Rattus norvegicus: one gene and its partner. The protein of the gene in region 2 interacts with the protein of the main gene of each other region in a pairwise test. Links are inferred from orthologs where the notes say so. Each region holds a gene or a part of one and is shown on either strand. Other genes may lie near its edges. The genes, in order: Bmal1 and Epas1.

Region 1 (3,812 bases), on a different chromosome or scaffold from region 2:
CATCAAGATGGGAGGAGACAGAAGCTCACAGGCCAGAATGCAATGCTGTGACCAGGAACAAGACCCTACCTCAAAGTAAGGTGGAAGGAGAGAACCAACTCCTGAAAACTGTCCTCTGACCTACACACACACACACACACACACACACACACACACACACACACACACTCCATGGTGTGCACTCTCTCTCTCTCACACACACACACACACACGCGCGCACACACACACACACACACACACACACACACGCGCACACACACACACACACACACACACACACACTCCATGGTGTGCACTCTCTCTCTCTCTCTCTCTCTCACACACACACACACACACACACACACACACACACACACACACACACACCATGGGTTTTCCTGTCTCTGTCTCTCTCTATCTCTTACACATCCCCCCCCCATACATTCTCTGCCTTCAGTTTGTGCTGACTCCTTTATTTTGACCAAAGGCACAGAGGTAAATCATTGCCTTGCACCTGTCATCACCCTGGACTTCAGAAGAATGAATCCTAGGGGGAAGAGTGTACCCCAAATGAGGTGGTTACCCATACAGGCAACACCGCACCCTGGAAGTGATTGTGTCCCAAGCCTTCACATCACAGTAAGGATGGATTTGGCCCAATGTTTAGAAACTGAGCTGAGACTGTGTTCAGCCAGACCACACCCAGACTACAACTAATGGGGCCTGACCCTTGCTCCAATTATTCCTCTATTTCATCCTAAAGAACAGGGCAGTTCCCCAACAGACAGACTCTTCCTCTTTGGAAGGGGCCACATTGAAGACATCTTTCTGCTATCTTCACCTGTCTCTCTAATGGGACACGTGGCCTGTCCTAGCTTGTTGCAGCTGCTGGAGCCTAGGCTTTGGTCCTAAAATGTCTGTTTCCATGACTGGAGAAACAACTCAGTACTCAAGGGCTTGCTGCTCTGGCAGGAGAGCTGGGTTTGGTTGTGAGCACCTATATGGTGCCCGTATCCTAACCCATATCTGTGAGGTCAGTTCTAGGGGATCTAATGGCAGCACATTAAACACAGATATTGCACACAAACACTTAAAATGAAAATAAATAATTTTTAAAAAATCTCTAGTTATACCTGGATATAAATAAATATCCTTCAGTGATATGAGCAGGTGGTACGTGTTAGGGCCCAAGTGGCCACTCTGGAGACGCCCCTGAGGCTTACTAAGGAGGTACTTGGAGCTCAAAAGAAAAGCTGAGGTAGAAATGTAAACTTAGAAGCTGTTGACCTGTGGGTAACATTACCTATCGACACATCAATATGGACAGAGGAGAGTGGCCCCAGGGCAGAGAGAAGGGGAAGCCAAAGGGCCAGGGAGAGAACTTTGCAAGAACCGTGAACAGTCAGTCAGTCAACACATGAGATCACTAGGGCAATTGGCCAGGAGGATTCTAGAAGGGTCGGTACTCAAGAGACAGAACTGTGACTGACTGTGTTTTTTTCCCAAGTCACATCAGGATAGACAGAATTTATACACAGAAAGCCTATTCACAAATCTGTCCCCATGGCAACACATCAGGGCTCCAGGGCTCCCCATTCCCCGCTCTGGTTGCTGAAGGCTGTAAGGTGAGAGGCAGCCAGGGCTGCAGGCCAGGGAGCAGACGCTCTGGGGAGCTTCGTGAAGAGCCCCCAGGTAAGCCTCTCTTAAGGCTGCTAACTGTACCTTTTTTCTTTGAACAGGTGGAGGCGAAGTCCTTATCTTCCACCTTTACTGAAGGCCTGTTGCACTTCATCCTACAGAAGAAAGAGCGCCGAGCTCCAGAGCACAATCGGGAGGGCCCAGGGGTTATATCCGTTTTAACCGGAAGTCCAGCTGCAAATCAACACAAAACGTGGTGAAAGGAGGGCAGGACTGTCTGCCGCAGGAGGGGCAGTATGACCTCCCTGTTCTCTCCGGCCCACGGTCACGCGGATGGATTACAGACGGTAAGAAGTGCAGTTGCACAGGTGGTGTAAGCTGTCTAGGGGAAGAAGAGAAACACAGCAAAGAGTTCCTGCCCAACAGGAGCAGAGGAAATGAGAGAAATGAGGCATCCCAAGAGAGGCTGATAACAGGGAAACTTAACGATCAGTGCCAACTGGCAGACACTTGCTTCCTGGCTAAGGGTCTGGGGTCCTACCCAAAGGGTTCACAGGATTGAGATACTGGAATGGGGGTGGGGGACACAAGATTGCCTTGAAATTTCAACTTCACTGGAGTTAAAATCCCTTGGGGGCCCTGATCAGTCGACCCCATTGTGGATGTTTGCTCCCTAGGATAGCCGCCAGCTTCAGGCTGCCACTGAACATGGAATGAGGCTTTTCTGAACTGAAAAGGGTTGAGTAAAGTATTTGCAGGATTTCAGAGACAGCACCAAAGAAATGTTAAAGGACTTGAAATCTTTAGTAACAATTACATCAACATAATATTGTAGATTGATGGTGATGTTATAATTAGCTTTTGAATCTTGCTTTTGAATCTTGGGGCTACCAAAAACCCTGAACTAGACAGGCTTGTGTTCAGACTTGTGGTTTCAACCATGGCACTGTGGGTGGAACCCTCAGCCTTTGGCACATCCGTCAAGCACTATATACCAAGCTACCATTTTGTTCTGCTGGGCTGGGCTGGGCTGGGCTGGGCTGGGCTGGGCATTTACTTTCTGCAGGTAGAGCAAGGCTACTGAAAGCTCCTGGGTGACTTTGATACGCATGCCTCTTACACCCCTCATGGCTGTGGAAGCTGGGTGTATAGACACCACTGGGGGAGCACCGCAGCCATGCCAAGCAGTGACCACTGCCCAGGGACCCTCTCCCTACTGCCTCTCCCAAACTGGCTCTGTTAACTTCTCTAGAATGCCAGCCCAAGCCTCCCACATTGGTTCAGTGCCCTTCACTGTATCTTTCTCCCTACACATTTTGCTGTAAAGGCAGCAAACAGGCTCTAGGACACCACACAGGTTCATCTCTGCGGGATGTTTCCTCTTCCCTTCCTGATACCCATTAACTCATCTATTCAAACACACCTCAGCCAACACAGACTCAGTGGTGCCTGTCCTCTTGCCCCATGCCTGTCACTACTGCTGTAGCTGCAACTATCCTGCAGGGTGCTGCCCGAGTCACTGTCTCCTGACCATGTGGGAAGAGCCCCAAGGACAAAATGTCATCCATTTTTTTTCTCCTTCAGTCACTGGAAGGTGCTGAAGCCAGCCTACAGAAGGCAACAGGCATTAGGGCCAATGTTTGCTTTTATGGAGAAATGCAACTTCCTAAGAGGTACCCTGAGGGAGTTCTCTGACACCATCTCCATCACCAATCAACATGGAGAACTGAGCAACAAGAAAGCCATATGCCAAATGCTTTGAGCCCACGCAGATCCAACACCAGTGCTACACTTACACCATGCTGGGAAAAGTCAACATTCTTACACATTTCAACTACCCAATGAAAAATGTATGTTTTACAGATGAGGAAACCGAGGCACAGAGAGGTGAACAACTTCCTCACAGCCACACCCCCAGTGAATGGTGGAGGCAGGATGTGCACCTAGCCAACCACTGGGCCAGCTCCTGGGTCTTGGTCTGGGAATGACTGTGGGGAACAAGAGCTGGGGCCAGAGAATGCTGACCCTTGGCTGCAGGAAGTAAAGGACCCGGTCAGAGGACAAGAAACACTGGCTAAGTGTGACTCAGAGACACAGAGAGAGAGAGAGAGAGAGAGAGAGAGAGAGAGAGAGAGAGAGAGAGAGAGAGACAGATAGAGACAGAGAGATTTGTTCTGGGAGAACCGGACAGTGTG
Region 2 (3,812 bases):
TAGATATTATAAAGTACCCATATATGATAAACACTAAACCCAGATATAAATTTTCCTTTTTCTTTAAAAAACAAAACAAAACTCAGTGTTGCTTTTGAGTAAAAACATGTATCCACTGGACCCCAGGGTGAGATGGGGGACAAATGGCTTAGGAACGCCACCACGTAAGCGCCACTGTGTAAGCGTCACCGAGTGGCTTCACAGGTAGCCCTAGAGCTGACCCTTCACATCGCTTACATAAGTTGTATGAAAACTGGAGCAAAGGTTGGCCTTAAAAACATTAAATTTTACAATATGTGTGGGACAGAGGGGGGTAGGAAGAGGGAGAACCCACGGCGGAGCTTAGAAAGAAAATCCTTTCTCTTTGGCAACAAGGACAAGAACACTTTAGTTGAACGAAGCCAAAGCCTCCCTAAGGAGAGACGACAGCCACCATGCGTGTTAGAATGGATGCTGAATGTGAGAGAGAAACCTTTGGGGAATATAAATTAGAAGTAATTCGAGGGAGGGAGGGGGAGATCTTATAAAATTTCAGAACACTTTCATCAACAGTAAAACATAGCAGGTAAAACAGCCATGTGTTTTTAAAACATGGAGAGTAAAGTGAGCATGTCAGATGAAGGCCACGGCTTGGTGGCCTGGCCAGTAGGCCAGGCCAGTACATCTCGTAAGAAGTGTGCTGGTGTTAGAGATACCTAATTGCAACACAGACAGAAGTGAAGCTGGCAGGACGAGATGGCTGGGCAGGGACATGCCCGGCCACGGGCCCTGGCTCAGGTGGCCTGGTCCAGAGCTCTGAGAAGGTCTCTCCCCTGCAGGAGTGTAGAACTTCCAGGCACTGGGACGTTCACCTCACAGTCATATCTGGTCAGTTCCGGCAGCAGGTAAGGCTCGAACGATGGCCCCAGCAGTCGACTTGCCACTCCTGAAAGGAGGAGAGAGGAGGGTGTTGTAAGGGACCAACCAGCACGGTACCGACTCCACTGTGGATGACCAGGGAGGAGGGCGTTCACACAAACAACTGTGTCTCCAGCTTCTGGCCACTTCAGGTGCAGCGGCCCTCTCACCCTGGGCTCCATTCCCTGTCAGAAGAGAACGCATCAGCATCACAGTGGTTCTGAGATCCAAGGATGACTGGATCAACAGCAGGGTTCTCTCAGTTTAGAGACAGAGCTCGGTCCTAGTGGCCTCTCCCTTCTGGAGTCCACCCTTCCCCCTGTTGCCTGCACTCCTACATAAATATGACTCGCCCCTTGTTAAGTCCACCCCTGCTTTCAAACTATGGGCAGAAGTGATCTAAGTTGAAATTAGTTTTGTTTCGGTTTCAGCAGCTGGGGAAGCCTGTCATTTGCTGACTACGGCTGACCAGATGTGTACACCAGGGAGAGTGATGTGTGGTTCTCTCTTTAAACTTTAAAGTTTCTCTTTAAGTCTTCTGACTCGCCAGCCCACCTGCTGGTAAACAGTAGGACTGGAATATCAAGCAGGGGTGGGGAGGTGGGGGGGACTGGGGGATGGGGATGGGGAGGTGGGGGGAGTGGGGGATGGGGGGTGGGGAGGTGGGGGGAGTGGGGGATGGGGGGTGGGGAGGTGGGGGGAGTGGGGGATGGGGGATGGGGAGGTGGGGGGAGTGGGGGATGGGGGATGGGGAGGTGGGGGGAGTGGGGAGTGGGGGGTGGGGAGGTGGGGGGTGGGGTGTGGGGGTGGGACTTTGCGGTTCCACGGACAGAATTCCAAGAACAGCACTATAAATTTCCCCCAACTCTACTACTCTAGACAAGGCTCTGGGATTTTCTTCCTCAAACCATAAATTGTCTATGAGGAGCAGAGGCATCTGTGGGAACACGTGTGTGCTTCAGTGGCAACAGCTGAGCCCTCTGTGTCACCAGGGTTCCCTCCCATCAGTGAATCCCCTGTGCTAGCTCTCAGAGAAAGCTGGTGTGTGTGTACACTTCAGACAACGAGGAGCTGAGGAAAAGGCATGGCCTCTTAGTCTTGTGGTGTCGAGAGCCTAGACCTGACCTGACAGACCACTGGAAGATTCCTTCTCGAGCCTTCCAGAACACCTTCCCAGAGCAGCAAGTTTGTCTTGATCTGAAGTCCCTCACAGCCCTTTGCCACACTAGTCATTTCCTTCTCCCAAGGCCTCCCCAGCCTGTGGTGGTGTTGGGGCTGTAGACATGCCCCAGGGGAGCCTGCTTGGCCAGGAGTAACTGTACTCTGCCCTATCTCTCTCTCTCCCTCTCCCTCCTGCCTCCCCCTCTCTCTCATGTCAGGTTCTCAGTGAGGGGCCTGTACCCTTCCAGGGATTCTTTGACTAAGTCATTGTCAGATGTGTCTTGGGCCTGGTACCACGCAGGCTCTGGGATAAAGAAGAGACTTGGTCCTGGCTGAAGCACCCTCATTCACTGGATGAAGAGCCCTAGGAACTGTAACCAGTTGCCTCAGACCTAAGCGGAGGCTCTGAAGGCCGGCAGTCCTTCATCCAAGTGCTGAGCTGCTTCGAGAGTGGCTGCCTCCCAGCTCCCTGGTCAGTCAGCGCATCAGACCCTGGGTATGGTGTGAGCTCCAAAGCACTCACCTGACCCCTTTTGAGCTCCTGGAGGACTGTAGTCCTGGAACGGGGAGGCATAGCACTGTGGTGGGAACCCACTCTTGGCGTTCTCTCCTGGACTCCTGGTAGATGGTGGCTGGGAAGGTGGCAGGTGTCTCAGTGGCTGGCCCAGGCCTCTCATGGATTTTTGGGTGAATTCATCTGGAGGATCCAAGCCAGAGAGTGAATCTGGGGCTGTTGTTAGGACAGACAGTAGCTCTCAGCCTGCTTTCTTTTTCATGTAAAGGTCTCAGAACCTGGAGCCTGCTCATGGCCTGGATATAATCTATTCTGACAAGGCTCAGGGAAGGGGTCCTCGACCCTCCATCAGACCCTTGGGCCAGGCCTGCTTACCAGGAGCCATGCTTGCACTGACGGTCTTGTCAGGCATCAAAGGACAGGTCCCGCCCATGAGGCTCTTCATTCGTTTCCACATCAAGTGTGAACTGCTGGTGCCTGGAGGGTCCCCCTGCAGATGTGACATGATGTTGGGGAAAGTGAGCCCCGCGTGTGGAGTGGAGTACCTCGCAGACCCAGCGGGCACAGGCAGTGCTCAGCACCAGAGCGGCCTGCATCTCTGCCCTAGCCTCATCTCGTGCCCTCAGGCTTCGATGCCCGGGTGTTCATTCACAAGGCATGGCTTACCCCACTTGTGTCTTGGAAGGCTGGCTCCTCGTAGTCCAGCTGGCGCTTTAGCTTCAGCTTGTTGGACAGGGCTATCATGGCCGGGCTCATCATGTATGGGCCTCGAGCCCCAAAGTCCTTTGCAGACCTGCCAAGGCCAAGAGAGGAGAGGGGGTGTGAGGAGTCTAGAGCCTCCCGCTGCCTGCTGTCTTCCCAGGATCCAATATTTCTGACTACGACAGGTCGACAAGTCATGGGCCCAGAGGGCAGAGTGCCAAAGGGTTGAGCAGCCGCAGTCCGGCTTTTCCTTCTGTAAGATGCTCAAGAGTTCAGTCACCTGTACCTTTCTCCACACTCCTGGACACCCTGGTCCTGCCCAGCTAGATGACAGCAGTCTCTACAAGGATCTATGCCTCCCATGCAGAGGCCCCTCTGGGGTGCTCTACAAAGGGTACGTGCTACAGACAAGACACACCAGCTTCCGGGATTGTCCCTTACTGGGAAGACAGGAGATGCAGGTGCCTGTGCACATCCCCAGAGGCTCTGGGCAGGAGCCTGGCCAGGTAGAAAGCACAGGACTATGGGTAGAACACGA

Evidence for each region.
Region 1: the proteins of Epas1 (region 2) and Bmal1 interact in binary tests that used the Homo sapiens proteins (3 or more experiments, as listed by UniProt). The link is inferred for Rattus norvegicus from reciprocal best matches to the Homo sapiens genes EPAS1 and BMAL1.

What each region holds. Positions count from the first base shown.
Region 1 is NC_086019.1:176,846,273-176,850,084, reverse strand, and holds part of Bmal1 (basic helix-loop-helix ARNT-like protein 1), read right to left. Parts: intron 1,852-3,812; coding exon 1,702-1,851; intron 1-1,701. UniProt on the Homo sapiens protein: Transcriptional activator which forms a core component of the circadian clock.
Region 2 is NC_086024.1:13,544,532-13,548,343, forward strand, and holds the end of Epas1 (endothelial PAS domain-containing protein 1), read right to left. Parts: intron 3,366-3,812; coding exon 3,239-3,365; intron 3,063-3,238; coding exon 2,948-3,062; intron 2,756-2,947; coding exon 2,582-2,755; intron 1,083-2,581; coding exon of another isoform or gene 926-1,082; coding exon 774-925; 3' UTR 499-773; downstream 1-498.